3 linked regions of the Cricetulus griseus genome follow. The protein of the gene in region 1 purifies or fractionates together with the protein of each later gene. This does not show direct contact. Links are inferred from orthologs where the notes say so. Each region holds a gene or a part of one and is shown on either strand. Other genes may lie near its edges. The genes, in order: Anapc2, Anapc11 and Cdc27.

The links.
Region 2: the proteins of Anapc2 (region 1) and Anapc11 purify together in Homo sapiens (affinity purification with western blotting; 7 studies listed by BioGRID and IntAct, with this or other methods). This does not show direct contact. The link is inferred for Cricetulus griseus from reciprocal best matches to the Homo sapiens genes ANAPC2 and ANAPC11.
Region 3: the proteins of Anapc2 (region 1) and Cdc27 purify together in Homo sapiens (affinity purification with western blotting; 20 studies listed by BioGRID and IntAct, with this or other methods). This does not show direct contact. The link is inferred for Cricetulus griseus from reciprocal best matches to the Homo sapiens genes ANAPC2 and CDC27.

The regions. Positions count from the first base shown.
Region 1 is NC_048599.1:136,623,066-136,626,812, forward strand, and holds the start of Anapc2 (anaphase-promoting complex subunit 2), read left to right. Parts: upstream 1-1,347; 5' UTR 1,348-1,373; coding exon 1,374-1,544; intron 1,545-1,772; coding exon 1,773-2,395; intron 2,396-2,764; coding exon 2,765-2,897; intron 2,898-3,651; coding exon 3,652-3,747. Other genes in the region: Ssna1 (Sjoegren syndrome nuclear autoantigen 1), read right to left, coding at 343-450, 781-980, 1,156-1,207. UniProt on the Homo sapiens protein: Together with the RING-H2 protein ANAPC11, constitutes the catalytic component of the anaphase promoting complex/cyclosome (APC/C), a cell cycle-regulated E3 ubiquitin ligase that controls progression through mitosis and the G1 phase of the cell cycle.
Region 2 is NC_048600.1:133,092,627-133,096,373, reverse strand, and holds the start of Anapc11 (anaphase-promoting complex subunit 11), read right to left. Parts: upstream 2,480-3,747; 5' UTR 2,343-2,479; intron 2,330-2,342; exon of another isoform or gene 2,186-2,329; intron 1,835-2,185; 5' UTR 1,817-1,834; coding exon 1,708-1,816; intron 1-1,707. Other genes in the region: Alyref (THO complex subunit 4), read left to right, coding at 2,600-2,833, 3,157-3,288. UniProt on the Homo sapiens protein: Together with the cullin protein ANAPC2, constitutes the catalytic component of the anaphase promoting complex/cyclosome (APC/C), a cell cycle-regulated E3 ubiquitin ligase that controls progression through mitosis and the G1 phase of the cell cycle.
Region 3 is NC_048600.1:117,544,954-117,548,600, forward strand, and holds part of Cdc27 (cell division cycle protein 27 homolog), read right to left. Parts: intron 3,368-3,647; coding exon 3,268-3,367; intron 2,142-3,267; coding exon 1,934-2,141; intron 1,414-1,933; coding exon 1,241-1,413; intron 1-1,240. UniProt on the Homo sapiens protein: Component of the anaphase promoting complex/cyclosome (APC/C), a cell cycle-regulated E3 ubiquitin ligase that controls progression through mitosis and the G1 phase of the cell cycle.

The sequences.
Region 1 (3,747 bases):
TGGCTGAGGAGACAAAGTGAGGGGCTCCCACAGTACTTGGACTAGGACCAGGGCCTCCTTGGCAGCCCAAGGGGATACAGGAGCTTCCGAGAGAGGCCCCTCATGGAGCTAACCAGGAGCTCAGGGTCCCCATGACACATGTGAGTACAGAGCCAGGAACTCCTTTCCTATTGGACTGTCCTAGGGCTTTTCTTGTCACCCAAGGCAGGTGGAGGTCGGAAGTTGCCCCTCTGGGCACCTGAGATAGTGAGAAGGCATCTAAGGCCACGAAGAACAAAGATGCTTCAGGACAGACATGTTGGGGACTGGGCAGCCATAGGCCACGGCTGAGACAGCCACTTGTCAGCTGTCCTTGCCTCCACTACTCTTCTGGTCTGAGGCTGTGGCTTTAGTCAGGTTCCCAGCTTCCCTTTTGAGGACACTAAGCAGAGTCTGAGAGCTCTCCAGGATCTGGGGCCAGAGAAATAAAAGGATTGTTATTTCTCTGGTAGGAAGATCTCACCGCCGCAGCCACTCACTCTGGAAAATGGGAATCTCCATCTGGCCTGTGCTGAAACCAACCGGCCACGGGGGGTGGGGGGTAGGGTAATAGTTACACTCCCCAAACCCACCCTCCCTGCAAAGCCACGCTGCGTTAGTTCTGGCCCACACCATGTACTCTTTCCAATACACCGCCTGCTCACTCTCCTGGATCCCATAGACAGAACAGCCTCGGAACCGCAATGGGCCCGAGCCTGAGATCCTAGTGAGGCACTGACAGAGCACAGCTGAAAGCCCCACCTTGAGGTAGGCGGCCTCTGTCTCTGCGATGGTCCGGTCAAACTCGTTGCGAGAGGCGATCTTGCGCGCCAGGTTCTCGTTGACGCGGGCCAACTTCTCCGTCAGCTGCCTCACCTCATTCTGAAGCCGCTGCTTTTCATCCTCCTCCTGCTGGATCTGCCGGCACAGCTCCTCTCGCTTCTGACACAGCTCCTCGATGCCTAGGGTGGGCGGGAAGACAGAGCTGTGGGCTGGGGCTCGTGAGCTTCGGACCCCGACTAGCACCACACGGGGCAGGCCGCAGAGCGAGGCTCGTGAGGCGTGTCCGCGCGGCCTCCCGGGTGGGTCGGCCAGACCCTGGCCCGTGGCCCTTAGCCTCCCGTGCCCGTTGCTTACACTTGACCAACTCGTTGTTGTAGTTCTGCAGCGCCGCGCCCTGTTGGGTCATGGTCGGCGCCGCGTCCGGAAGCCTCAACCGCCGCCCGCACGGCCAGGCCTGCGCCTGCGCACTGCCCCCGCAGCGCGCGCGAACGCGGACGTCACAGCGGCGCGCCAGTCCCTTGCTTGCGTCATCACAGTGCGCTACATTGGGCGGGTCTGTTTTGTGGACGCTGATGGAGGCCGAGGCTGTAGCGGTGGCGGCGACGGCGGCGGCGGCGGCGGCGGCGGCGGCGGCGGAGGCAGTTGTCGCCGCCGATGACTGTGACTCTGGGCCTGGACAGGAGCTCTTGGTTGCTTGGAATACCGTGAGCACTGGTCTGGTGCCGCCGGCCGCACTGGGGCTGGTGAGGCCTGGGGAATGGTTGGCGGGCCTGTGTGGCGTTGCCTCGACTCTGCATGCTTTAGGTTTAGGGAGTCCATCTAAAGTCCTGTAGGGGACTCGCCTCCTTCCTCAGCTATCTGATTTGTTTGGTTCCTCCTGCAGCCTTTGGCTGCTGAGTTTTTTTTCTTTTTCTTATTCTTCTTTCATTTCCCTCCCCTCCTTTTACCTCTACCTCGCCCCTCTGCTCCAGGCATCTTCTCGTACCAGCGGTGCGGTTCCACCAAAGGAGGAAGAGCTCCGTGCAGCGGTGGAGGTTCTGAGGGGCCATGGTCTTCACTCAATCCTGGAGGAGTGGTTTGTGGAGGTGCTGCAGAACGACCTGCAGGGCAACATTGCCCCAGAGTTCTGGAATGCCATCGCCCAGCGCGAGAACTCTGTTGATGAACCCCAATGCCTTCTACTGCTCCTGGATGCGTTCGGCCTCCTGGAAAGCCGCTTGGATCCCTACCTGCATAGCCTAGAACTCCTAGAGAAATGGACTCGTCTGGGCTTGCTGATGGGCACTGGAGCTCAGGGGCTTCGGGAGAAAGTTCATACCATGTTGCGGGGTGTCCTGTTCTTTTCCACCCCCAAGGCATTTCAGGAAATGGTCCAGCGTCTCTATGGCCGTTTCCTGAGAGTCTATATGCAGAGCAAGAGAAAAGGAGAAGGGGGCACAGACCCCGAACTAGAGGGTGAGCTAGACAGCCGGTATGCCCGCCGAAGGTACTACCGACTCTTGCAGAGCCCTCTATGTGCAGGATGTGGCAGTGACAAACAGCAGTGCTGGTGCCGACAGGCACTGGAGCAGTTCCACCAGCTCAGCCAGGTCCTGTGAGTACTGCCTCCTCGGCCATGCCCCAGTTTCTTTGGATGCCCCATTTGTTCTGAATTCAGTAGACCTCTGTGTAGAGCTAGTGACAGGTGAGGTCTTTTTCCATTTTTACTTGCTGCCAAGAATTATTTTGGTTTTTCAAGACAGAGTTTCTCTGTGTAACAGTCCTGGCTGTCTTAGAACTCACTTTGTTGAGTTCCAGGTTGGCCTGGAACTCTCAAAGATCTGCTTGCTTCTACCTCCCAAGTGCAGGGATTAAAGGTGTGTGCCACCACTCTCCTGGACATAGGTATAGGGTATAGAAGGGCCCTCCTAGGTAAGGGACAGGTGTGTGTTGTGGGTTCTCCATGAGCAGGGATTTCCTCCAGGCATAGACTCAGTCTGCTGGAGAGGGTCAGCGCTGAGGCCGTAACCACCACCCTGCACCAAGTGACTCGGGAAAGGATGGAAGACCGCTGCCGGGGAGAGTATGAACGCTCCTTTCTTCGTGAGTTCCATAAGGTGAGACTTCTCCCTGGACTGTGACCTGTCAAGGGCAAAAGTGGACTTTCTGCAGACCTGATTGCAAGAAGTAGGCAGATTGACCAGGAGTAGTGATAGCTGAAGTTATCTTGGTGCTGTTTAGAGGCCAATCCTGGACCCTGGTGACAAGGACAAATCTGGTATGTACTAAATAGGCCTGTGCAGAATCCTATAGCTAGAAACAGAATCCTGGGCCAGAGGTGGTTCCAAGGGATTTCCCCAGACAGATATGGCAAGACAGGCCCACCAGACCCTTTTCTTTCCATTGCCCTATAAAATGTGTGCTCACTTAACAGTTCCTTCTGGATTAACCCACAGTCTGTACCCTAGCATGGAGTTAGGGTGTCTCAGTGAAGGCCTCTGGTTGCCGATAATATTGAGGTATGGTATGTAATTCTGCTATGGGGTTCCCAGCATTGTGGAAAAGCTAGGTTCAGCCCCATGAAGCTGTCCACCCTGTTTCTGCTTCACTCCTGACCTCCCATTTTTCAAGTATCTATCCCCTGTGGATGCCTGTTAGCCATGATGGGAAATGTTCAGAGTGGGTGTCCCCATAGTGATCATGAGCCTAGAGTCATGAGCCTGCAAGCTCTTGGGGCAGCCACATTGAGCCTTGGGCAGTGGAGTGCAGGTTTGGTGGCTCCTCTAGGGTCCTGTCAAAGGCATATGGCTACTGGGTCAGGCTGGATCATTTAAGTGTTATTACACCTCATACACTAATGATCTTCCACAGTGGATCGAGAGAGTGGTTGGTTGGCTTGGCAAAGTGTTTCTTCAGGACAACACTACCAGGCCAAGTTCTCCAGAAGCAGGGAACACACTGCGCCGT
Region 2 (3,747 bases), on another chromosome or scaffold:
GAACTGTGTGTTCAGTTACTAATCACAAATGTTATAAATAAAAACTTAAACCAGAAAAATCAATGAATTCCTAAGAAACTCACACTTGCTGGGCAGTGGTGGCACAGGACTCTAAGAAACCCTGTCTTAAAAATCAAAAAAGAAAAGGAAAAGAGACTCTTTAATTACATCAAGATAATTATCTTGATTACATCAAGATAATTAACTCTTAGCCAATAAACCAGGTTAGGTGATCTGAGCTGTACACGCCTTTAATCCCAGCACTCTGGATGCAGACGCAGGCGGATCTCTTTTATCTTGAGACCAGACTGATCTACATAGTGAGTTTCAAGCTAGCCAGGGTTACATACTGAAATCCTGTCTCAAAAAAAAAAAAAAAAAAAAAAAAGACAAATGACAAATATGAGGCCAGTGGCAGTGGGTCCAAGAGCTAATCTAATACACAAACTGACTCAGTGGAGCCCATTCTCTATAGAGAGATAGCTTGCCCAGCCTAGACACAGGGGTGTGGGGGTGGAGAGGTGCCTTGGTCCTGCCTCAAGAAGATGATAGGGGAGACTTAGTAGACTTCCTAGGGGAGGATTTACCCTCTCCAAGGAGCAGATGGGGGGGGAGTGGGAGGAGCAGAAGGGGGAACTAGGATTCGAATGTAAAATATAAATTAATAAAAAAAGTCAAGTCACAGCTCTTTAATTGCATCAAGATGATTAACTCTGGGCTGATAAACCAGGCTGGGAGATCACATTGGTTCATACCTTTAATCCCAGCACTCTGGATGCAGAGGCAGGCATCTCTGTGACCTTTGATCTACATAATGAGTTTCAATCTAGCCAGGGTTACATACTGAGAACCTGTCTCTAAATAAATAAATAAATAAATAAATAAATAAAGACCTTTTGCATTCTGAAAAACATTAAATTCATAAAGCTCAAATGCCTGGAAAACAAGAATAGTAAGAAGTATTTAGAACAGAGAGCTGAGAGTCCTGAGATGTCAAGAATGGCTCAAACCCCAATAACAAGACATTTGGGGAAAGATGCTGGAACGAGGATGCTAGAGCAGCTTTGTGAGACACGGGGCTTAAGTTGCTCATAGTTTATAAGCATCAACTTAAAGTATGGAAACTGCTGTCTGAACTTCAGTGTGCTGGGCAGGGGTATCCTCATTTGTTCTGCTTTGCTTGGAGAAAATTCAAACTGGAAGTAGCATTTTGAGGAATTAAGAGAATGACCAATCATCACAATGTATCCCAGGCAAGCTTCAAACTCAAGCCTCCTCTTGCCTCTGTCTGTGCCACCATGCCTTGGCAAAAACAAAAGTGTTGTTTTTGTTTATTTGCTTTTCTTTGTTTTTACAGACAGACTCTCATTATGTAGCCTCCAACTCAGAGGCTACCTGTTTCTGCTCCCAAATGCTGGTATTACAGATGTTTGCCACCATGCTGGATAGGGTCTTTATACAAAAGTGAGTTTGAAGAATTCGTTTATTTTCTGTCAACTTTCCTTCAGGAAATGGAAAGTAAAACCCACGGTTTTATTTTCTGGTTTTCTTAGTTTTTCGAGACAGGGTTTCTCAGCGTAGCCCTAGCTGTCCTGGAATCTCGGAGATCCTCCTGCCTCTGCCTCCCTAGTGCTGGGAAACCCAAGGTTTTCAAGGCTGGTGGAGCTGGCCGAAGTTCTGAGAGCACGGGGGAGGGGGGGCACTTACAGTCTGGACAGCAGCCATTAAACGCCATCCTGCAGATGCCACAGTTCTCATCGTTGGCTACCCAGAGCCACGTGGCCACACCATTCCAGCACTTAATCTTCACCTTCATGGCAGCAGAGCGTGCGACCTGAGGGAAGAGGGTTTCCTGGCTAAAGTTACTCTGTATTACTACCACAGACGGCACTTGAGCATTTAAGGCGGGGAGCTGCGTGCTAGGCGCCTCCAGGGAGCCAGGCTCCCAAGTTGTTTTGCTATGTTGAAGGTCGTTTTTAGAGCTGTGCACCCAGGTAGCGGGCCAGGCTGGCTCACGCCTTTAACCTCAGCGCCGCGGAGGCAGATCCGCCCAAAACCAAAGGAGGAAAACAAAAACAAAAACCACTGCATCCATGAAAAACACCTCGGTTTTCACTCACAACCCGCGCGTGACAAGCCATCAGCTTGCTAAATTTAAATAAAATTAAATTTTAAAAAACCATCCCTTCGAGCCCACAAACCCCAAATCGGATCCACAGATCGGCCCCCCGCCTCGCAGCTCAGGGACTCGGCGGGCGGACGGACCGAACTCGATCCGGCGCCTTCCGGCCTGCGCAGGGCGGATCCCAGGCCAGGCCCCGCCCACGCCTCGCCCACTCCACCTAATCTCGCGGCGCCCCGCCCTTCCGTTGCAGGAGCGCGGGAGGTATAAAAACGACCGCGCCGCGCCGGGCGCCACACACTCGCGCGGGCCGTCCTCCTGAGCGCAGCGCAGGCGCCCTCCGCTCTCCGCGCGCGCCGAGGCCAATCAGGGGCAGCTTCGGGGGCCGCGACGCCGGAAGACCAGGGGAAGCTCCGGAAGTGACCTAGCGACGTGCTGACGCGCGGGCTCGATCTGAGGCCCGATTCCGCGCCCGCCATGGCCGACAAAATGGACATGTCTTTGGACGATATTATCAAGCTGAACCGGAGCCAGCGAGGCGGCCGCGGCGGAGGCAGGGGCCGTGGCAGGGCCGGCGCCCAGGGCGGCCGCGGCGGGGCGGTGCAGGCGGCCGCGCGGGTGAACCGAGGCGGCGGGCCTCTGAGGAACCGGCCCGCCATCTCTCGCGGCGCCGCCGCCGGCGGCAGGAACCGGCCGGCTCCTTACAGCAGGGTGAGCACGGGAGGCGCGGCGCCGGCGGGGCGGGCTCCCGGCGCCCTGAGGCGGGCGGGCGGGCGTCCTGCGGGAACCGCGGGAACGGAACGGAACGGAGGGTGGGCGGGGGCGACGCCGCGCGGTGAGCGAGGCCCCGGTCACAGGCCGGGATCTTCCGGGACGCTTTGTCCGGTCCGGTCCCGCCTCGTGGCGGCGGAGCGGCGGGCGTGGGGGTCGTCTCCTCCGGGCTCTCGGGCCGCCGTGAGAGAGAGAGTGTGAGTGCCGGGGAGGGATCGGGGCGCCCGAGACGAGGTCGCTCACGAACCTCTCTTTCCCTTCAGCCGAAACAACTTCCAGACAAATGGCAGCACGATCTGTTCGACAGCGGCTTCGGGGGTGGAGCCGGCGTGGAGACCGGCGGAAAACTGTTGGTGTCAAACCTTGACTTTGGAGTGTCAGACGCAGATATTCAGGTAAGAGACCAGAGCCGTCCGCATGCTTATCCCCACACACAGAATCCCTTCTGATCAGAGCCTGTGCTCCCCCAGGCTGCCCAAGGGCCAGCCGCTGCCCTCACAAAAAGTAGTATCCCCTGGGGTTTGAATGTGACTGATAGGTCAGGCTGCTTGGAAGGCAGCCTGGTGTGCCCCCAGAGTGGCTCTTGTCTGCTAACGTCACGAGCACCTGCCGTCTGCAAGGCTTACAGTTTCTAACGGGCACAGACTGGCCACAAGTCCGGTCCCTGTGTGACCGAGGGTGCTAGCTTCTCAGGCTTTGTGCCTGTAGTAGTAAGCTTATGAGAAGGAAAACTCTCCCCACCCCCACATGTCTGAAGGCACAGGGGTGAATGGTGGCTGTGTGTCTTCCAGACTGACCTTTCCTGGGTCTTACCAGGGGCATTGTTCTCATACCTTTGGTTGAAGTCTTTTTTT
Region 3 (3,647 bases), on another chromosome or scaffold:
CGATTCCTGGAATTGTGCTTCTTGTTCTAAAAACTCTATAAATCCAACAAATCATCTAGTTTCATCACCTTAGTAAATTCAAAACATTTAAATGTTTAATTCAGTATTTGGACTGTATTCAATGAAATGAAGATGACAGAAAATAAGAAAAGGGCTTTTGTTTGAAATATCTACTTTTGTCTATGTATGCCACATGTATGTGGGTACCCAGGGCCAGAGAGGGCATCAGATCTCCTGGAGGTGGAGTTATAGACTGTTGTGAGCTGATGTGGGTGCTGGTAACTGGATCTCTCCAAGTATAGCAAGCGTTCTTAGCTATTGAGTCATTCTCCAGCTACAGGAAAGGACATTTATAAAATTGGAAACTTTTGCCAAAACATCTTGATTTGGCATCTAGAGTCAATTTGCTGTTTTGTAAGTTATCTCAATTCTCTTAAAAGTTGTATGCTAGGAACTTCCAAAAGGGGGCTGGAGAGATGGCTCAGTGATTAAGAGCATTGGCTATTCTTCCAAAGGTCCTGAGTTCAATTCCCAGCAGCCACCTGGTGGCTCACAACCATCTGTAATGAGATCTGGTGCCCTCCTCTGGCCTGCAGACATACATGCAGGCAGAACACTGAATACAAAATAAATAAATAATAAATAAATATATCTTAAAAAACAACAACAATGCCGGGCATTGGTGGCTCACGCCTTTAATCCCAGCACTCGGAAGGCAGAGGCAAGTGGATCTCTGTGAGTTCAAGGCCAGCCTGGTCTCCAGTGCCGATAGGCTCCAAAGATACACAGAGAAACCCTGTGTGTGTGTGTGTGTGTGTGTGTGTGAATCCCCACAGGCTATATAAGACACAGCAATTGGCCATATACAGGTATCTTTTGCCTTCAAAGTTTTCAGAAACTATTGAAATCTTTCAAAAGTGATTATTACCTAGGAATGAAGGCTAAAGGAAGAGGAATGTGGCAAGTGTGAGGCCAGCCTGGGCCACACAGTGAGCTCAAGGTGAGCCCATAGCAAGGTCTTGCCTCCCAAAAATAAAATAAAAATGGAAAGCAATTACAAAGATCCAGGTGTGGTGGCACATGCCTGTGATTTCAAGGCTAGCAGGAAGAATACAGTGAATTCAAAGCAAGCATTAGCTATACAAACAAACAACAAGCAAGTGATTATGATCTATACAAACAGGAAAATAAAAAAATACTACTAAAAAAAGTTGAAGGACTGGCATCTTTGTATACTTACCTGCATGTATTCTGAAAGTTCAAAATAAGCTCGTCCAATTTGGCACAATACCCAACCAGTACTGTAGTGGTGAGAAGGTAGGTGGCTCAAAATATTTATAGCTTCTTTGCAGTTGTATGAACACAAAGCTAAATAACCTTTTCCCATTTCACGAAGAAGACTCATCAAACCTTCTAGGAGAAAACAATATAATAAACAAAGGAGAAAAACACAACTGTGGTTTTCTAAAAAAGCTAACCAGATTACTCCTTTAAAATATAGTTCCAGTATCTGGTTGGCAAGATGGCTTGGTGGTTAAAGGCTCTTGCCACCAAGCCGGGTGACCCAAGTTTGATTCCCATGACTAACCTATACATGCACACATGCGCACACACAATCTTTCTCTCAAATACAATTTAAAAATGTTTTAAGGGTGCTCAGTTGTTAAGAGCATTTTCCATCCAGTTCCCAGAATCCACATGGCAGCCCACAATCATCTATCTGTAATTCCAGTATAGGATTCACACCTATTTTGGCTTCTGTAGGCATATATATTCAACAGAAATACAAAAAAGGACACAAATTTAAAAACATAAAACCGAACATTTTTAATGCCAGTATTTATCTAAGAACAATGAAGGCATGAAGAAACTTATCAAAATAAGTGTATAATAAACTAAAGACACAAGAACCACAGAAACATTTACAACAGACCTGCAGCTGCCTTCTGTAGGTTAAAGGCCTGGATCTGAGGAGTGATTGTGGATAATTTCCCTTCTGAAATGATAGAAGAGTCCAATTTTGTAATTTCCAGACTATCATTTATGTTGGGTTGAGTTATTCCTCCTTTGTTAGTTTTACTTTTTGTTTTTCTGTTTGGGATTTTAGGTGGAAACTTCATTTTTAGCTTTTTGCTATTCTCCTGTAAAAAGGGATAAAATGTCATGCTTGTCATACTCATTATTTTAGATGTCTCCATTTACGTTTTCTTGAGTACTCATGTAAAAGAAATGCATAATCCTCAACAGTCTTTTGTTTTCCTTATCAGAAATTCTATATGTAAAAAAAAAGTCTTCAAAAAGCAATTTTTTTTTTTTTGCTTGTTTTTTGTTTTGAGACAAGGTCTTACTTTTTGGCTCATGCTGACCTAAAATTTGAAGCAATACTCATATTTTAGTCTCCCAAATATTAGAATCACAGGAATGAGTCAACAGCCCAGTCATTTTCATTTTAAATACAACAATAAGCCACACAATTAATAGTGACTGATGTTATTCTGCACCAAGGGCAGCTCTCTTCAGAGTGGATCACATTCTCAAATCACTATTTAAAAGTAACAAAATGCAAAATTAACTATATCAAAGCACTGTAATCAATTGTATAAAACCACTAACTGGATGTATCAAAGGTAAATTATTCACGTCAGTCAGAAGACCAAGAAACAAAGCGTTCTCTCATCTTTTGCTTTTACCTTTAAAGTAATTCTAGGAAGATAGTAACGTGACTAAATCTCCACTCATTCTTTCCTCAGTGGTAACATGTAAGCTACAGAACCATGGACATTTCCCAGCACTTATATCAATTCTTTTGCATGTGTATATATAGAGTAATTTTATCAAACAAATGCATTTGTGCAAGCAACCACAACATTTATGATATAGGATTATTCTTCCAGAACAAAAAATCCATTTGTACTACATTTAAATAGTTTTATCTTCCCTCCAGCCTTATTTCCTGATTAAGACGCTGACATTTTTATTATAATTTGGTCATTTCAAGAATGACATATTTACCCAAGAACCAAAGAGAGCAACAAAAATTATAGCTAGCTCACCACGTAAAAATGATTTAGTACAGCATGGTGGTGCACCTGTGTAGTCCCAGCACCCGAGAAGCTAAAGCAGGAGGACGGCAAATTCCCAGACCAGCCTGAGCTCCATAGGGAGTCCTCTAAACAAGGTGAAAACAAACCCTTTGCTTGCTTGAGATGGGGCCAAGCAATGCACAGAAATCTTAGCACAGTAAATGACCATGACAGTCATCCTTACCTTGGCTGTTGAGCTGTCACTAGTGAAAAGGCGGGAACTCCTTCGAGGCAATGCATTTGGGGGAGATGTAATAGTGGGGCTCAATACCTGAGGTGTTGTACTAAAACAAACAGAAACGTTTAATATTTAGCTTATGACCATTAACTATTGTCTCAATTCTATTTTATTAAAACATGCATTCATCATAGAAATATTTTAAAACTGGTTCTGTTTAGTTCCTTTTGGGTCTCTACGAAAACTCAGAATTTAAAAATTAAGAAGCTAACAGAATGGCTCACTGGTTAAAAGTACTTGATGCTCACCTAGAGGACCCAAGCTTTGTTCCTAGTGCCCATTCTGGGTGGCTCACAACTGCCAGTCAGTCTAGACCCAGGTAACGC